4 linked regions of the Arabidopsis thaliana genome follow. The protein of the gene in region 3 interacts with the protein of the main gene of each other region in a pairwise test. Each region holds a gene or a part of one and is shown on either strand. Other genes may lie near its edges.

Evidence for each region.
Region 1: the proteins of GSTU19 (region 3) and AT2G29250 interact in a protein complementation assay, tested with the Arabidopsis thaliana proteins (one large-scale study listed by BioGRID).
Region 2: the proteins of GSTU19 (region 3) and AT3G14860 interact in a protein complementation assay, tested with the Arabidopsis thaliana proteins (one large-scale study listed by BioGRID).
Region 4: the proteins of GSTU19 (region 3) and AT5G59740 interact in a protein complementation assay, tested with the Arabidopsis thaliana proteins (one large-scale study listed by BioGRID).

Annotation. Positions count from the first base shown.
Region 1 is NC_003071.7:12,578,163-12,582,583, forward strand, and holds AT2G29250 (Concanavalin A-like lectin protein kinase family protein), read right to left. Parts: upstream 2,619-4,421; coding exon 747-2,618; downstream 1-746. Other genes in the region: AT2G29260 (NAD(P)-binding Rossmann-fold superfamily protein), read left to right, coding at 4,361-4,421.
Region 2 is NC_003074.8:4,997,513-5,003,202, forward strand, and holds AT3G14860 (NHL domain-containing protein), read right to left. Parts: upstream 3,535-5,690; 5' UTR 3,383-3,534; coding exon 3,256-3,382; intron 3,141-3,255; coding exon 3,069-3,140; intron 2,967-3,068; coding exon 2,799-2,966; intron 2,524-2,798; coding exon 2,353-2,523; intron 2,225-2,352; coding exon 2,012-2,224; intron 1,898-2,011; coding exon 1,809-1,897; intron 1,721-1,808; coding exon 1,079-1,720; 3' UTR 792-1,078; downstream 1-791. Other genes in the region: TBL41 (TRICHOME BIREFRINGENCE-LIKE 41), read left to right, coding at 1-99.
Region 3 is NC_003070.9:29,485,673-29,489,951, forward strand, and holds GSTU19 (glutathione S-transferase TAU 19), read right to left. Parts: upstream 2,336-4,279; 5' UTR 2,148-2,335; coding exon 1,833-2,147; intron 1,332-1,832; coding exon 987-1,331; 3' UTR 715-986; downstream 1-714. UniProt on the Arabidopsis thaliana protein: Catalyzes the glutathionylation of 12-oxophytodienoate (OPDA). In vitro, possesses glutathione S-transferase activity toward 1-chloro-2,4-dinitrobenzene (CDNB) and benzyl isothiocyanate (BITC), and glutathione peroxidase activity toward cumene hydroperoxide.
Region 4 is NC_003076.8:24,069,316-24,074,889, reverse strand, and holds AT5G59740 (UDP-N-acetylglucosamine (UAA) transporter family), read left to right. Parts: upstream 1-1,803; 5' UTR 1,804-2,022; intron 2,023-2,129; 5' UTR 2,130-2,142; coding exon 2,143-2,253; intron 2,254-2,340; coding exon 2,341-2,454; intron 2,455-2,544; coding exon 2,545-2,637; intron 2,638-2,719; coding exon 2,720-2,785; intron 2,786-2,859; coding exon 2,860-2,958; intron 2,959-3,052; coding exon 3,053-3,132; intron 3,133-3,247; coding exon 3,248-3,360; intron 3,361-3,823; coding exon 3,824-3,912; intron 3,913-4,133; coding exon 4,134-4,220; intron 4,221-4,315; coding exon 4,316-4,384; intron 4,385-4,466; coding exon 4,467-4,580; 3' UTR 4,581-4,841; downstream 4,842-5,574. Other genes in the region: RIBA3 (monofunctional riboflavin biosynthesis protein RIBA 3), read right to left, coding at 1-93, 217-346, 429-754, 825-1,493. UniProt on the Arabidopsis thaliana protein: Sugar transporter involved in the transport of nucleotide-sugars from cytoplasm into the Golgi and/or the endoplasmic reticulum.

The sequences.
Region 1 (4,421 bases), on a different chromosome or scaffold from region 3:
ATTTCAAAAAATTCGATAATAAATCGATTTCTCGAAATTAAAATCTATATCGTTTGCGTCCACATACAGCATTGCTCTTACCAAGGTTTTCAAAATTCAAATTTCTGCAATCATACGCCTATACACCTATATGTCCCCTAACCAAGAACACAGTTATAGGGGGTTGCGGGTAATTTCAGATACGTCTCCGACAGACACTATAGACTCATAGTTAGTTTCTATATTATTATTGATTTCATGGTCATCTAGTGCATATACCCTTCTTTTAAATTAACCAGGTGAATCCAATCCAAAATCTAAACTAATCCCTTTAACAAAAAAAAAAAAAAATCTATACTGAACCCAAATTCCATAGAAATCTAGATTTTGTTGCTACTATAAAAATCTACTGGTGAACAAAGATAATTGAAATTACAATGAAAGGGCTAGAAAAGTCTGCCAACAATACTATTTATTTGCTTATCTTTTCTTTAACAATACATACTAGTTATCCTAAAACGACGAACAAACATCATTTAGAATTTAAAATCAAACACAAATATTTTAAAATATTCATTTTCTCGGAAGAGTACGAAGATTGTTTAATCGAAGATAATATTTAATGAAATTAATTTCTCAAAACGAGAAATTCTTATTTCCATTTTTAAAAGTTATTCTATGTATTATTCATATCATGCTTATGCATCTTGGGTCCAATCTTGATTTGTACAACGGCGTTTCGAGATCATCGTTAGCCATTTCCTCTTTTAGACGACGTAGTCATCATGAGGGAGATGTTCTGTACCGTTGAGATACTCCAACACTTTCTTCATCATTGGCCTATCTTCTGGAGATCGTCTCACGCAGAGAAGTCCTGTTTTCAGAACCAATAACACTTCTTCAGAGACTAAATTCTTTTTCTTGATTCTTTTGTCGCATCTCCTTAAGAGATTTCCGCTCTTGACCCCTCGAAGCACCCAGTTCACTAAACTGATCTCTACCGGTTCCTTTGTCGGCTCTATGGCTCTCCTTCCACAAACAATCTCCATGATTAACACTCCAAATTCAAACACATCTGTGGCACATGTAGCCTTTCCCGTGTTGACTAGTTCTGGTGCAACGTGTCCCGTAGTGCTGTGTCTGCTTCCATGTCCATAGTCTCCTAGTCGAGCGTTTAGCTCTCCGTCCAAAAGAACGTTACTTGCTTTGACATTTCCGTGTATGAGAGGTTTTTGAACCTCAGCGTGAAGATGTTGAAGTGCTGACGCAATACCCTTTATAATACAAAACCGGTGTACCCATTTGAGAACTGGTAGGTCGTTGCTGAACAAGAACCGGTCTAGGCTTCTATTGATAACATACTCGTAAACAAGATAGATCTCGTTTCCTTTGCTGCAGTAACCATGTAGATCAACAAGATTTCTTTGTTTTACCTTGGAGATTGCATCGATCTCGGCTATTAGGGCTGTCTTTTCTTGCCTTGTGTTGCAAGTAATTCTCTTTACGGCAATTATCTCTGTAGGAGCAAGTTGCCCTTTATAAAAACTCCCAGAGTTTCCCTCTCCCAAAAGCTTAGAGTTGTCAAAACCTCCCGTCGCGCTGGAAATCGTCTGGTGGGAGAATTTCCGTGCGCCTCCGGTGAAGTTTTCCGTTCTACGAAAAAAGCAAACCGCTAAGAAGCTTAAGATCAAGATTCCAAATATTGCTGATGCAGCAATGATTATGATCAGCATCGTGTTACTCGAATTTTTCATGACTGAAACCGGAGGACTCGGGGATGGAGACAATGGAGGTAGCGGGTCTGGAAGAGAGGGAAGCTTCGTGATATCAAAGTCTGATGCTTTCCCCTCGATGCTGAAGCTCCAGCCTAGCACAAAATGTGAGCTCGTGACAGTTCCCGTGGCTGCAGAGAATCCAACATAATTTTCTTCAGAGATGATCCCAGAAAGATTTAGTTTTCTAGAGAGAAGAGGCAACTTTGGCTTCGGACGATCTAGAGGAGCCAATGTGACATTGAGCATCGTCTCAGTTGCGTTGTATTCGATCCAGACTCTTATTGGTTTCCCACTCGCCAGCCTCAAACTTATGTTCTTTGCCTCTCGGTCATCAAAATATTCAGCGGAGGTAGACTCAATGGAGATCACTCCGTTGAGGTCTATACCAACATGGTTATCATCAATATCGTTCAACTCAACGGCCTGCACAGTGTCGAATTCAACTGCAAGAATGCAATTCAAGGAGTTTCCATTGTTGGAGGTATTGAATAGGCCTAGATAATTGCTTGGTAAGGCCCCGCTAAAGTCCAGCGAGGGTGAAATGACAAAAGCTAAGCCGTGGCCTGGTGCGCCAGGTCCTGGAGTGATGGCAAAGACGAAGCTTGTGGGGAAAGATACCAAATTTGAGGAGTTGGGGTTTAAGAATGGTATGGGAAAGCCATGAAAAGCTTGACCTATTTGCCTCATCGAAGTGTTTGTCAACTCCAAGTGGCCACTCGGGTGGATCTTGGACGAGCCAGACTTGAGGAGATTAGCTTCCAGAAAGCCATGGTTAAGAAATTTGGTTTGTTGTTGACTTGAGACACAAGAAAAGTATAGTAGGAAGATTATTGATACAGCTATCGATTTATAGGTATTAGCCATTGATAGTTTTCAGATTTTGATGTTAGCTATGTTCAATGCTATCTTTTTATAGCTTCAAAGAGCTCAAGACACATTCATATTCAAATTTTTTGTTTATGCTGACAAGTTAAACAAACTTAGTTGAAGATTTGACTTTCTATATAAACTGCTAAACAAACCCTTTTTTTTTTTGCAAACCTTTATATTAGTATCCTTGAAAAATTCTTTCGAACTTTCCTCCACAATTTCTTCCTAATAAAATTGATTGCAAAATAAACAAGAAAATGGTTACATATTTTCTGTATAATTTAAATGTGATTACAAAGTCATAATGGATCAAAAATTATTGAACAAAAAAAACGTCATCTTTTAGCTAGCCTTTAGGGTGAATCACCTTTTTTTTTGTTACACATATAATTTTGACTGCCTAACGATCGACGTTTATCCACTATGACTATGTGATACAAACAAATAGAAAGGTTTCTCTTGAGTCTTGTAATTGTGCAATTATTTGTATTAGGAAGAAATTGTGGAGGAAACTTGCAATAATTATCAACTATATGTCGCATAAAAGGCGTTGCTATGTTAGGCTTTTAGCCACTATATATCCAATATAAAAATAAAAAATGGATGAACAATTGAACATTCCTTGAAATTAAAGTGTTAACTTTAAATATGAATATTTATAATAAAAAAATATCCTAACTTTTTTTTATTATTATTATAAAGACATACGTTGTCAAACTAAGAAATTCAATTTGTAAACGAAGAAGAAGAATACTTGACCATTCAAATCTTAGTCTTGTTCTCACTGAAAACTTGTACAAAAATAAATAATTACAAAATCTAGAGAAGTTTTCATGCAAAATTGTATATGTAGATGTAGTCAGATAGAGTTCCATATATTCTATAAACGAAGAAATCACAACAATACAATGTACAAATTAACATCATTAGATTAGAGTCAAAGAATTTTTAAAAATATATCAACTTTCTGAGAAGAGTACAAAGATTGTTTACGAACGAAGAATTCTCAAAACATAAAATAATTAGTTTCCATTTTACAAAAATGATCTTAGGTAATCTGCTTATATTGGTTAAAGTATTTCTATTTTCTAACCAAAACTTAGGCAATTTATTTTGTCACCAACATACAATATTATATTAACAATCTATATATTACTAATCTATATGTTTTTTTCTTTTTGGTCTAAGGTAAACTTTGTGATTTAATTGTAGTATTGTACCTCTTCAATAGATACTCCGTACTCGCATGTATTAATAGAGCATCACATTTATCGACTTCTCTATGGTTAGTTTATGCATCTACTAAGTTTTTTATGGACTTTTGTTTTTGTTGTTCATTTATCGAAATAAAGCAAAAAACTGCAACGATCCAGTTAATCCGCAAAAATTAATGAATTAGAGTTTTTTTTTTTTCTCTTCTTCTTGTTGCATTTTCTCCTTTTTTTTTCTATTTTTTCTAATGATATTAACTAATATCTTCCCTACTAAAATATTGAAATGCTTTATTTTATTTTTTAAATAAAGAAATTGATTATGATTTTTTTTTTGTTACAGTTTATAAATGTGTCTAATAATTTATGGATATTTTATAAAGTTTATAAGATATATATACAGTAATTTAAAATTTGCCGCAATGATGACGTCGTCATCGTCACTAAACCAATCAGAACCATGCTTCGCATAAAGGTGACTCTGACTCATTTGAAAAGCTGAAACATAAACTCTGCTCTGCATAAATGGTGCTTGACATGGCTTCTCACTTGTACACAAATCCACCTCAAAACCTTCACTTTATTT
Region 2 (5,690 bases), on a different chromosome or scaffold from region 3:
CTAGGCGGGCGAAACTCCTCCGGTGACTGCAGCCACTGGTGTCTCTCTGGGGTACCGGATACTTGGAATGAGATTCTTTACAATTATATGGTTGAGTAAAAGAAATAAAATACGGAAACATCAATTATAGCATTTGTTATTGTGATTGATCATTTAAATCTGAATAAAAGGTCCGTTTCTGAATTTTGTAATCATACATAGGTTATTAGAATTAAAGAAATCGAATGATCAAGAAAAATAATTAATCTAAACCCTACCTCCGTGTAGTGTAAGTGAACACAATATGAAACTGTATAGATCAAAACTTCTATAGCTAATTCATTTAGTAAGGTCGTTTTTCAACTGATCGATAGTTTGTCAACAAAGCACATTCCAATTATTAAAGTTTCAACCAAATCTCTACAATAATTCTATAAAAATGGAACTGAATGAAGTCAAGTTATTATCAAATTCGATCTTAAAAAATCATATTCGTATGAATGAAGTCAAGTTATTATCAAATTCGATCTTAAAAAATCATATTCGTATTCGTACTCTCTTTATCTCCATGCCAAACACATAGATTTTACTCTGTTCTATCATGAGCACCTAATATTTTTGTAATGAATGTATCATGAGTTGAACAAAAGGGTCCTTAGCTCAGTGGTAGAGCATTTGACTGCAGATCAAGAGGTCACCGGTTCGAACCCGGTAGGGCCCTTCATTTTTTTTTCCTTTTTTTTTTTTTGACTAAGATTCTTTACAATTATATATACTTTCTTAGGACCATGGTTAGCAAGGAACCTATCTCTAGCAGCCAAAGATCTATATATAGCAAGCAAGAATGTGTTAATAGCAAGTTAGTAACGAAGAGCCTGTTCTTGTGATCGTATAAGTTCATAATACATCAGATTTTCAGTCATGATTCATCAATCCTTCGTTACAAGAAAAGCCTTTAACCTCTTTTTCATCATCTGTGTAATAAGATTTTCTTAGTAACTAACAAAAAGAAAACATAAGGAATCTCCTCAAACCAAGGACAAAAGAAAGGGCACAACATACTCAGAAAAGGGTTCTAATGAGTATGTGATTTTACTTTCTAGAATCGAAATGGAGTTTCAGGTCCATACTTGCTGCTCCTCATGTTGTAATGATCAAACTTTGAACTATTACTGTACTCCACAGGCTTCACCGTATCTGATGGTGTTGGCTTTGGTTCTGTCTCGGTTGTTTTATCTCTATGACGACGCCTTGACCGCTCTTTATGGATCTTCGGTTGGGCAACCTCTCCCGAGGCATAGAACTGAGCATAGTCCTGCCGTTTTGATGATGTCCGATGGTGCTTGGATGATGACAAAGTAGGGTCCTTCATTACACTACTTGATCTTAGCTTTGGCGTCTTATGTTCAGGGTAACTATCATCAGCTTTAGGTAAGTGAGCATGTCGGGATTCTGAGATTGGTGCTGGGGCAGTATGCCTTTGGACTCGAGGTGGTTCTTGTTCGTCTTCAGGCATTATGAGTCTATCTTTTAATGGCCTTAGATTGGGGTTGGTTTGGAATCGGGCTGGAACTAGGTGGCTGGTTATAAACTCGAGAGCAAGTTTGCAGAGATCAGTAAGGAGTTGCCCAAATGATGGCCAACCAGGTTCTTCCTTGGTTATTGTTTTCTCATGGACAGGCCGGGAGAGTTTCTCTTTTCCTGGATGCTCTTCTTCATAGCTGGTTTCTGATCCTACCTGCTGTAAGATAAAACAGAAATTGTTGTTGTTTGTAGCATATGGTTGATGAGAAGCGAAAAGGCACGAAAGAGAAGAGATAGAAATTTACCGTCTTTGAGAAGAAAGAATTTCCAAAGCCCTGCTGGAGCATACAAGTAGCATAACCAATGAGAACAGCACCAATAACCAAGAGTATATCTGCACCGAATGTAAGCACGCAATGATCTTCTGTTAACACTCTCAAATCCACCCCTAAACAGAGTGTATGCAAAATGATCTATGTAGTGGGAAGAGGTGTTTTTGACTTCTTACCAGTTAGAGAGATTGAGCTATCATCTTGATAGTCACAGTCCTCTTCACTGAGAGAGATTTGGCGAAGAGCCGCATTTCCTCTATCGATGACCAGCAACGAGCAGGTAGGCCGAACATATACGACATCAAAATCATTTGAGAACTTTGCATCCTCACTTGGCCCATCTCTATACCCAGCTATATTTGATTTTCCCCCAGCTATCGTAGTAACACCTGTAACAAAAATGTTTCAGACTCTTAAGAACACAATTCTTCTCAGTTTAATTATATTTTTCAACAACAAGCAACCATTTCAGTTTTTGAGTGCTGATGTAAGTAAAACCTATAGAAAACTTGTATACCTGAATCACCAATCTTTCGGATGGCGAGATTCAAAGTATCAGCGACATAAACGTTCCCTTTGTCATCCATTGTAACGCCTCTCGGATGGTTAAAACGAGCCTCACTCGGTTTTCCATCTGCATGCCCTGTTTTTCCTTGAAAAGATCCAGCCACCAATCTTCCCCTGCTGTCTGCCCACAAGTACATAGATTATAAACAAAGTCATAAAAACCTCCAACACTAAAAAAGAAAGAGAAAATCAAATGTTTCATATATAGTATAAAGAACCAGAATATTGAAGTAAAATAGAAAATGTAATGCTACAAGCCAAGATCATCAAAAGATCACAGTAGTATCGTTAGTGTATCAAGTATAATCTGCGATGGCATGTGTATATGATTGGATGTACTTAAAACTGCAAAAACTAAGTCATAAAGAAGAGAACTTGTGGAGAACGAAGTTTTACACTGAGACAAGGGAGGAGTGATTTTCATGATGTTGCTATTAAGTTCATCAACAGCATAAAGTTCTCCATCATCAGAAACTCGAATCTTGTAAGGAACAACACCAATATCGTTTCCTTCCACAACAGTTTCGACCAAGTAACCATTCTCAAACTGAAGAACATTAGTGTCTGCACCACAAGTAGCAGTTAGAGAAAGAAACATCAAAACCAAGTTTATGAACAACAAACAATCAAGGCGACCAAATTCAGTCGTACTAATTGAGAATTTACCTGATTGGGATAATTTAGAGGATGATCCAGTAGTCCACTTGAGAACCGATGACATGTGCTTAATCAAGGAACCTAAATTCAATTTACAACAATTGACATAAAAAACCAGAAATTGAAGAGTGAATTCACTAAGAAAGTGAGTGAAGCAGATAGATCAAAGCAACGAAGTTAAGTATGGTAAAGTTACCAGAAGGAGCAGCTTGAGCTTGAAATGGAAAGGAGTGAAGAGTAAAGAAGATCCATAAAGTGAAGAAAGTATTGAAAGAAGAACAAGTAAAGCTCTCAGCGTTTAGAAGAATCTGAGATTTGCCCATCTCTTTCTCTGTATCTTCCAAAAGTACAATTTTATGTTGGAATCGAACCCTAGTAGAGGCGATTCACATCTTCCAACACACCACAACACCAACTGATAGAATGAAACCAATTTGCAGATGACAACAGATTTTTTTCTTTTCTTTTTTGAAAGTAAGAAAAGAAATTGTGTAACGAACATAAAGTTACCTTATTGGGTTACTCGTGTTTTTTATGGGCCTTATAATAGGCCCATTAAGGTTCTTACCTTTCAATACGCCCATTTAGTGAGTGCTAAATCCTTTATACTCACTGCCACTGGGCCACTAGAAGTCTTGAATACTAAAAGACAAAACTAAAGTAAAGAAACAAAAAAAAAAAAGCCGATCAGATCAGAAGCACTTCTACGACATGTCCAATCGCATCAATACCTTTTTCTTGTCTGTTTCAAAATAAGGTAAATAAATTATATGCAACTTTATAGTATGTGAATAGTCGTTAATACATAATAAAAAAATCAAGAATAGTCGTGAATAGAGAAAATCCTTTTTATCAAATCCATACTCTCATAGGCTCATAGCTCTCAATTCTTGGTTTGAAATTGAAATCGAATTGTCTCTCAAGCTTTTTACTTTCCGTTAAACACGGACAATTAACTCACTTTGTACTAACTGATAAAATTACATGCATATGCCACTCCATCACTGCATCAGTGCATTGTATTCATAACTCGTACAAATATAACTGGAATGATGTATTCTCACGATTTCTATATTTATAAAGTTTGCATTTAAAGCCCACCAAGACTAATTTGGTTTACTTATTGCTTATAAGATGATTCAAACTTTGGACTTAGCAATTTTCAATCTTGATTTTGCTTTCATCGATAGGACAACTGTACTTATTGAGTTGCTTCACGTATTTAGTGAAAGCTAATACTGCTATTCAGCTGTCTTTTATGCAACTTGACAAATAATTTAAGAGTCTTATTTTATTTTTGTTCAACATTTAAGAGTCTTATTTAAAAACAAAAGAACTTATAGAGAATGAACTTACATAATTCTCGTTTGATTAAATAAACATCAAGGCAGTTAAATACGGAACTAAAGAAGGGTTAACAAATAGAAAGCGTTTTCAGGAGAATGTGGGAAATGGTTACACTTTTTTTTTAATTTGCCACGTGTCTTTCATCTATCTCACTCATACCGGACGGACCGGTCTTCGCGTACGTACGCAATAACAGCTTCCAAGTAGTTTCATTCCCAACCCAAACCGTGTGATTTTGCGTTCTGTCTGAACATCTTATTCCCTGACATACCGAGAACACCCCTACTTCCTTTTCGACGTTTCTTGGAGTAAAGTAGCAATGTCGGTGTAAATGTCCCTTTACCATGAGGGTATTTACGTAAATCTATGTCCTTTGAACTTCCCTAGGCTCACCCTTCTCTGTCATTTATTACTCTCTTCTCCTCTCCTACGACTCTCTCTCTCAGTCACTCTAAAGCCTTTTTCCCCTCTTCTCATTCTCGAGCTCCGGACTTGTCTTGAAACCGTGAAGGAATCTGTATCTTTTGTATGTTACCCATTTTATTGTCGTTAAGAATCAATTTAGAGGCAAAACGCCGAGAGGTTTGCCCGGGAGAGTGTTTTTACATCGATCAGGTTGGTTAGCTAATCAATATTTATTAATTATCATCTTTTGTTCTTCTGAATGATTTCGTCTTCATTGTTATTCTGCAGTTTCTTATATTCTCATTTTCAATCAAATGAATATATCATTGTGACTTGTGAATGCTCTTACAATCCCATCATTCATACCAATAATGCCATGGTCAAGCATTCACATCAGCTTGAATATTAGTCTCATATTGGTTCTGTGTTTATCCTTTTTCCTTTGGTAGGTAGTGATTTATAATTTCATATGATTGATTTGATCTGCAGGGTTTAAGCAGAGGTTGGTTTGTCATTTCGCCAGTTTGCTTCTTCAAATTCACTCTACGATGAAGTGAGAACAACAAACAAAACATAGATAAGATAGAGACCTTGGAACTGTTGGAAGGTAAATTCAATACAATCTTTTTAAATGAACTTTGCTTCTAAAGTTGTATTAAACCCTGAGAACCATATTAATTTAGACCTTCTGGAGTAATACTGGTTATGTTGCTGAGTTTATTATCACTCTTTAACATAACTCTTCTCATTAGTTTTCCTTTAATCCGTGTGCTTTATGGTCTAAGCTCTAGTGAAATAGAGAAATATGGTTGTTTTGTGAGTAGCTTGTGACTGTACTAAATGTTAGGTAGCTATATTTGGCTTTGAGGCTGTCTTACT
Region 3 (4,279 bases):
CTCTACTTTTGGCGTGGCCACCTACTCACAGTTGTTTGTATTATTATCTCTCAGTTAGGTGGGTGTACATTTACCACGTGATTCCCTTGATTTGATATCAAACATTACAATCCGGTACATACGAGGACAAGCTACTTACCATGCATGTACAAGAAATACGCATTTACACAAGGAGTGATAACAGCTATACTAATTTATTGAGAGAGTATTGCACTCTATTAAATATATCACATACACCATTATTTTTTCAATATCAGCATAAGATTTATAAATACATAATGCTTTATCTATGTTTATACTCTAAATTCTTTATATATATAAAGCCTTTGAAATAATATTTTAAAATTTACTAATCGATCCCAAAAATTACAGGATAGTTCTGTGTTAATATCGTTGTTGTAATCGTAAATCAAATTCAAATCCCATGAACTGTGCGGATCATAGTAATGTTATTTGATCTACCGAATTCAAATTCGGCAAGAAACACTAAACCCGTGGCTAATCTGATCATACCGACACTAATGATCACATCAACCACATAACTTCCAATTGACTACAATATGGAGTTATGGATGCCAATTTCAATTTGGGCTTATGGATGCCAATTTGGGCTTATTAGATCCAGACCGGCTTACCATTCTCGATGTTGGAGGTTTTAATCGCCAAACTGCACTATTGTCTTTTACAGCAACATTGGCGTGATAAGCTTGGTCAGGTAGAAGAGTCGTATTGGCGTAATTACATATCAAAGTAACAAATTAATAATCATTATAGATTAACGATCATTAATTAAACTCATAGTTACAATGCATAAAAACTAGGACAAGCCATTAAATCCAGAAAACACAGGAATCTGCTACAGCAAAGACATACATTCTCTACACTCAAACCACCTCACAGATGCTCTGCATTATTTAAGAAAGACAACACACGAAAGTAAAACAGAGAGCATCTTAAGTCCGAACCATATGACAAGAGAAACATATTTACTCAGGTACAAATTTCTTCCTGAGCTCAGAGACGAATTCAGTAACCTTCTCAGGATCAGGCAAGGACTTAGCCACGCTCTCCCTCTGCAAACACTTCTTAACCCAAGCAATCAGTTTCGGAACCTCAGATTCGATACTGAAGTTAGCAAACTTCTCGTATGCTGGAAACCATGTGTAGAATCCAATCAACGCAATGTCTACATAGCCAAAGTCATCGCCACTAAAGTAAGGTTTGTCTCCAAGCTCAGATTCAAGAGTCTTGAGTATCTCAATGAAATCCTTCTTCCCTGCCTCTTGTTCCTCACCCTTTGTCGCCCACACCTTCCTCTGAGCATCATACAGCTGAAACATTGCACAGAGTAACATAACACCAAGCTATGTCAGAACTCAGTCGAACCCAAACAAAGCTCAAAGATGATGTCTACAAAGCAAAACCAGTCCTAGAGACCCCCAAATTGCAAAAGAAACATATCATCAAACTATCTAAGATGAACCCAAACAAAGCTCAAAGATGATATCTACTAGCGAAACTAGTATGTAAAAACCTCAAATTGCACAAGTAACATAACATTAAACTATCTAAGAAGACAAACCCTGACTAGCTCAGAGATGAGTCCACAAGAAAAATCTGAAATTTGGAGGTGAGATCTCTAACCCTAACAACTACAAACTCAAGTAATATTATAACATCAGACAAACCCATACAAGCTCAAAGACGAGTCTACAAGCAAAACCCTAAATTTGAGCCAATCACTAGCAAACTCAACTAAAGTTTCAATTTTTATGAAATCCCAAGTTCAATTTCAACATTATTCAATCAAGGGCACAAAGGAAATAAGATACCTTCTTGTCAATGAAATCAGCCCAGAACCTAGCTTGAGCTCTCAGGTAAGGATCAGAAGGAAGGATAGGGTTCTTGTGAGACCAGACCTCGTCAATGTACTGAACCTGGATGATAGATTCGTTAACCGGTTTACCATTGTGGATGAGAACAGGAATCTTCTTGTGAATCGGATTCATCTGGAGAAGCAAAGGACTCTTGTTCCTTAGATCTTCTTCTCTGTACTCAAATTCAACACCTTTCTCCCTCAATGCGATCCTTGTCCTCATCCCGAACATACTCGGCCAGAAATCAAGAAGAATCACCTCGTTCGCCATTGTTACGATCGCTAAAGCTCACAAAGAGATTTTTTTTTGTAAGTGTTCGTCTTTCTCGATTTGTTTGGTTGGGACACTACCTGTAAGGGTTTAGGTAATTTATAGATGAGAATATTTATGATACAATAATGGATTGTGCTGACTCTAGTCGTTACGTCACACCACTCTTTAAAAACATGTGGCCAGATTTTAAAGCTTTTTAAAGTAATAATTTATAATTACAGTATTTTCTTTTTACGTAACATATCTTCATTCGCCTTTTTTTTATCTGTTGACCATTATAGTGTTTTATATAGTAACTTGCAAATATTCGTGTGGACTCTATGATTGAAAAAAGAAAAAAAATCGTCTGAAATCTATTATCATAGTAGCAAATTTGGATTTTGGATGTTAAAGGAAATTATGGATTTCAGTTGACCAGAAACCATAATGGATTTCTAAATCAAGATTTTAGATTTCTTAGCACTGCGTTTAATTATTTTAAAAGTTGATGGAAAAGATTATTTTGTTGTAAGAAAATAACTGGATGGATTAACACAGTTTTAAATTATGTGAACAATTAATTTGACTAATGAGTATTGACGTTTTATTTCGGCACAATGTATCATTACCTGATGAAAATATCATTTATTTATAGAAGAAATGATTCATATTGAAACTTAGTTGAAAAACGTGCAAAAAAATACAGAGGACTTAGAAAAGCGAGCCAAATTTCTAGAAAGCTGTGTAGGTTGAAGAGGTGGAAGATACGTTCACGTTACCAGAATTAACTGGAAATTTTCGAGATATTTCGATGGAACTGTAGAGATTGTGTTACGTCAATAATTGTATTTATACAATTGACGTGACCACATGATCTCGAGAAGCTTGGCGACATTGATCACGAAAGCGAGAGAAGATCCTGGTTCAGTATTGGTTCTATCTTATTTTTGTTTTGGTCATGGACTTATGGTGAATTGGGCCTATATTTTACAAAAAACAATGGATCTGAACCGGGCTTCGAAAAACAGTTTTTCTTATTTGAAAACCCATTAATAAAAACAAAATCATAAGAGCGAGCAAGAAAAAAATCATACCTGACCTTTCAGAACTCCTGTGGCCAAACAAAATGATCTTCTTATTTTTAAATTCTCTTATTTTTAATTCCAAAAGATATAAACTCGCGCCAAAAATTTATGTAACTGATGCTTTAGTATCTTTAACATAGCTAGATCTATTATAAACCTATAATAGACTAGTTAACAAATTTAGCCAAATTGGATATGTCACCAGAGAAAGCAAAATCAGCTACATTGGGTATTTATATTTCGTCGAGTAATATACGGGATTTTTTTCAGGCAGATAATGTGATCTATTCATTATAGACATATATGATTGTTTCATAAGAAGAAACTAGCTCAACATACTCATATCTGCGTTGGGTTCGATATCTCACGACACGTAGCAACATACTCATGTCATAACATGATACATCTTACAATATACACAAAATAGTTGACTAAAAAAAAGCACACACACATTAGGATAAGAAGATACTTAAATTGTTATTTTTCATTGATGATTTCGAATGTGTATCTGTATCTGGAAGTCTCTATAGTGTGTAGACTTTGATCTAGAAACATCGAATGGACCCTACGCACTGTATTACGTGGCATTTTAGTTTCAACCTACAAACTCGTTACTTGATTTTGTATATTCTAATGTTTTTGAGGCGTCAAATTCCGAGACATCAACGTATTTTTCGGCGAATATACTATTTAAAAGTCATGTACAAAAATACGTATGATCTTGATGAGATTTTCCCTAGTATGATTACATATTTGATAAAAACTATTTATTTAGAAAAAAGACACAGCAGTATGCACGTTATAAATCAAAAAATGGTCTTTTTCCATGTCAAAAAAAAAAGATAGTTCCCGGAAAAAAAGAGTGGCCATGAAGTGTATTACATGTTCAAAGATTAGAATCAATCGATTGGCTACTGTGAAATGCGAGTGCTTATGTATACGCTTACGTGTATGCACTTTAGAACCAATAAGAGTAGGATAAAAGATCACAAGTCAAAACTGTGAGATGTTTCCCGTTTGCTTAAAGTAGAAATCGCAACAACCTCAACGTAAATTCATGAATAA
Region 4 (5,574 bases), on a different chromosome or scaffold from region 3:
TCCACAGTCACACCGTGCTGAGCCAAAAATGTCTCCTGTCAAGCACTCTGAATGCACTCGCACCAGAATGTCCTCACCATTTCCAACGTTTCCCTGGTCACGATTCAGACAGAAACAAACACAAGACTGGTCTTAAATTCGAATATCCAGTTGGTTGTTCTGAGATGACACCAATGCACATTGATCAAGATTTAGAAGTAAGTCGTGATTTTGTACCTTAACGAGGGCGATATTTTCGGTTCCATCGAGTTTAGATCGATAACAATAAGCTTGGAAAAGACCCCATTTGGTAGGCAAACGAGACACTGTGATTCTCTCAACAAGCTTATCTCGCTTTCTTCGATATCTACAAGTATATAAAACTTCAGATAATTACTTGTATCCAGTGTTTTCTATCTTTTCAATACATGGTCTTCTTCTTCTCTAACCTGATTAAATCAGTCAACGATACAATGGGGATATCATGTTCCGTAGCAAGCTTTTTCATATACGGCAGTGAAGCCATAGACCCATCTTCTTGATCAAGAATAGCTGAAAGAACAGAGAGGGGACGTAAACCAGCCAATATCATTAGATCCACTGAAGCTTCGGTGTGACCAGCTCTCCTTAAAACTCCACCATCTCTGTACTTGAGAGGGAATACATGACCAGGCCTCCTGAAATCATCTGGTTTAGCATCGAGAGACGAAAGTGCAAGAACCGTCATCGCCCTGTCTGAAGCTGATACTCCAGTTGATGTTCCAGATTTTGCATCCTGTAACCAAGAACTTTATCAGAACATAGACACAATGAAACCCTCTTGAGAACTATATCCAAATCGTTACCACAGTGATGGTGAAAGTTGGAGCAGAGGAATCTTCGTCTTCCATTTCAGGTGACATAAGTGTAAGGCTTAATCTTTCAAGGTTTTCTTTCTTCATACCAACTGAGACAATACCTGAACCATTCTTAATCAGAAAAGCTATGTCTTTTGGACTCGTAAGAGTTGCAGCCATGATCAGATTCCCTTCAACATCTCCGGTTTCATCGTCAACAACGATCACAAACTGAAACATAAGTGACAATTTTTTAGTAAGACCAAATCTATACAACTGTAAAAACAGATCATCATAATCACTGGTCTTCAAGAAAATCGTCAAAGAACAAACCTTTCCTTTGCGTAGAGCTTGAAGAGCAAGTTCAATAGAGGAATAACCTTGAGTAGGACAATCTGGATCACCCTCTGCGTCACTCACGAAGAAATCATCAGTCTCAGGCGTGATTTCCGCGTCAACTGTCTCAAACGAAGCAGAATCAAACAACGACCCGTCGGTTTTCCTAACAGGATTTTCATCGAACACATTGCGATCACTATTCTCACTAGCCTTGATCTCCCAACTTGAACGACTAACCAATCTCCAGCAAGTATTAGCAAACCTAGGAGAACTATACAAGCCATTGATGAAGCTGTGAGCGAAAAAGATTCGAGGATGATATAAAGCAGAATCCATCATCGACGTAATGAAACATATATCTCTCTGCTCGTACGATTCGCTGCTTCTCGTCTCTTTGGAGTTGTTCTCAACACAAAACCAAAATCTGAAAATTTTAAAATTTCAGACATATTTTTAAGGTTGGAAGGGAAAAAAATCACGACCACGAGTTTAGGATTTATCTTCTTTCGTCGTCATCGTACTAACTTAACTGGTGTTTCTCATGGGCCACACATGTTGATCATGAAGAACTATCACATAAACGGAAACCCTCTGGGTCCTTTAGAAGGTTTTGACCTTTGTCTTATTGCTGACGTGGCCTATACTTGGAAAACATCAACGAACACAACTTTAAAAAGGGCGGAAATAAAGGAATTGAGAGAAAGAGGACGGTGGAGGAGCAAATCGGATCCAGACGGAGAAGTCGCCGGAGAACGGTTTACAAAAGGAGCGTGAGAGAGAGACAGAGACAATTTTTCTCCGATCTCACCGGATCAGCCGTTGTACTCTTACCAATCCGTCGTCTAGCTTGAAATCTCCGAGCTCAAAGGTGTGTTACAGTCACTAGTCACTGTGATTTCTCACGCTTACATTACAAAATCGGAGCTTGTATTGTGTGATTAGATTTGGTTCATTAATGGTGGGTTTTGTGTTCAGAGGTGGATGGTCCATGGCTGAGCCAGAATTAGTAAACGGAGGAGTGAAAGAGAACAAATTATGGAAAGGTGTATTCGCAGTTTCCGGCATTATGTCTACTCTTGTAATCTACGGTGTTCTTCAGGTCTGTCTTGTTTTCATGATACCATTCTCTGTGAAATGTCTCCCCTTTCTTACAAATTTCTTTTGTTTTGTGATTGTGGTTTTGTAGGAGAAGATAATGAGAGTTCCTTATGGAGTGAACAAGGAGTTTTTTAAGCACTCTTTGTTTCTTGTTTTCTGCAATCGGCTTACTACATCAGCTGTCTCTGCTGGTGCTTTACTGGTAAACTAGCTAAAAACACCAACTTTGTGTTTATACTTATTTGCTAAAGTTTTATGTAACCCTTTTTGGCTTTTCTTTTTTAATTTGTAGGCAAGCAAGAAAGTTTTGGATCCTGTAGCTCCGGTTTATAAATATTGCCTTATATCAGTGACTAACATCTTAACTACAACATGTCAATATGAGGTTGGATTTTTATTTTAATGTATGAACTTTGTATGCCTACTTTTTGCTGCTTATTGCTTTTTGCTATCTGTAATGCCTCCAGGCTCTCAAGTATGTGAGCTTCCCTGTCCAAACTCTTGCAAAGTGTGCCAAAATGATACCAGTAATGGTAAGTTTTTCAGAGCTGGAAACTCATGCCTTTGAGTTTAGCATCCACCATTCTTATATTTGTGCTCTATATAGGTGTGGGGAACGCTCATTATGCAGAAGAAGTATAAGGGCTTTGACTATTTAGTGGCTTTTCTGGTGACCCTTGGCTGCTCTGTCTTTATTCTCTTTCCGGTATAAACCTCTATACCCAATCAAAAGCTTCGGTTAGTTAGACTATCATATTTACCATGAACATCATGTTTGTTTATGTAAACCTGATTTGTAGGCAGGAGATGATGTTAGTCCATACAATAAGGGAAGGGAAAATACTGTTTGGGGTGTTTCCCTTATGGCTGGTTATCTTGGGTATGTGTATCCGTGTTACTTGTTTTATTGTTTATGCGAATATACTGAAATTTTTGTTGTCTTGTTTTAAAACAAGGAATATTGATTGTGTATATGGTAATTGGCTCACTAACAGGTTTGACGGCTTTACAAGTACATTCCAAGACAAGCTCTTTAAAGGATATAACATGGAGATACATAACCAAATATTCTACACAACACTTTGTTCTTGTGTTTTGAGTTTCACTGGTGAGAATCTTATTTGTTTCTGGAACCTATACTGTTAGAGTCGCATCATTTTCTGTCACTGTCATTTTCTATGGACATTGGACCATTAATCGTTTTCCCTGGTGGGTGGCTGGTCCTAAGAAAATTCTTTAGGAAGAAGACTTTTCTCTTCTTTTTTTCTCTTTATTTGTTTACTTTAGTTATATATCTGAGTTCAGTTTATTTTGACTGTTAGACCTCTGGAATGAAAATTGATTCAATCTTCAGCTGATGACTACTAGGCTAAAGTGAGGTTTTATGTTAGTGATATCAACATGTCATTAGTCGCAACTATTTTAAGTTTCCTCTGTTTCTGAATGTGTCTCATAGTCAGAATTCATCTCTTCTGCATAAAAGACCTCAATGCTTAGACCCTCAAAAAGAAGATCAATGTGGTCAATCATTCTCTGTTCTTACCATTATGTAAATCTTATGGTTGATGTAGGACTTATATTGCAAGGGCATCTACTACCAGCTGTAGATTTTGTTTCTCTGCATAGGGATTGTTTACTCGACATCGCTCTGCTTTCCACAGTAAGTTTTAAGCTTCCTCTATTCTTCTACTTAGTAAATGCATTGCCATGTCGTTTCGACCAAATTAGTTTTAAGATCCACAAGATGCATGCATGTATATTCATAAAACAAATCCATAAATCTATAATCCGAAACAAAAGGCTTTGATGACGTCTCATGATACAATCTTCCTGTCTTGTCTTTGTTTACCACTGAACTTACCAGAGACTAATAATGTGCAGGTTGCAACAGCGAGCCAGTTCTTCATTTCTTACACAATTAGGACATTTGGTGCTCTAACATTTGCTGCAATCATGACGACCAGACAGGTAAAAAGAAAACTCGATCTCAGTCTGAATAATCTGTCTTCATAACTGACAACACCGTCCGATTTCTAATCCGACTAATCTGTCTTTTAATAAAGCTTGCAAGCATCATGCTCTCATGCATTTGGTTTTCTCATCCTCTTAGCTGGGAGCAATGTATCGGATCGGTACAGTTTCGGTTCCTTCTACATTGTTCGGAACTTTATATTATACTTTTTGATTCTTGACTAACCAAGTTTGCTCCATCAGGTCATCGTTTTCGGGTCTTTATATGCGAAAAACTTACTGAACAACAAGAAAAATTCACAAACGCAACCACCACCTCCAGAACTTCCGCAGTACGAAAAGGTTGAGAGCTCTTAAGAAGAAATATAACACCAGTTAAAGGTTTTTGCGCTTGATATAACCCTCAGAAGTTCAGAACAAAAGAAAACTAGCCGTTAGGAAACTGAAACTAGGATTTATATACTCGTTGTATTTGTCTCATCTTTTTAAAAATTTTGTTGGATCTCGCGTAGAGTTGATTATATATCTATATTATGAGTAGTGAGTACATGTGTTTCTTGTTTGTTAGTTGATCGCTAGACGAAAAAGATTGATGACAATGAAAATGTTATACTTCTGCACAAGTTTGCCTAACCAGATCAAACCGAAATCATTTATTCCGAGATCAAATGGATCATTATTTGTGTATACTATCTAAAACAAAAACTGAATCCAAATTTAAGTTAACCAAAAACTAAAAAAACTGATCTCAAACCTAAATTTATGTAAAAATAAAAGAAGATTATAGTTTATATAGAATTTTTCTTTTTGAGTTGGTGCAATTATAGATACCACAGCTGAAAGATTAAAAAAGTAGTTGTAGTTGGTTAGAATTTCTGATGTAAGCCTTTGAGATATCCCGATTGACTTCCAACAGCAAGACTTTCCCTTTAATCACTTTTTTCTGTTTACTTTCAAATGTACCAATTTTGTATTTTTAGTATTTTAATATTCTTCAAGAAATTTTAGCAGTATCAAAATGTACCTGGTCATCATCAGAAGAATAATTCAAAGAAGGAAAGAGATTGATCTGGTAAATATCATAATAAGGTCTTGTATTACATTTTTAAAAAAATGGCGATGAGTATCAGTCCTTTATATATAGTGGACTTATTCTTCATTCCTAAAACATACTTGAATACTTCAAAGGAAGAGATATATTCATATATAACCCTAAAGAAACTTTCATTAAGTTTCAAAAAAATAACAATTTGGTTGTTAAGGGTAATCATTGAATAGTTAGCTGATTAACTACTGCATATACAAAGATTATAACTTTCTGCCGGAACTGAAAATAATTAATCAATTGTGT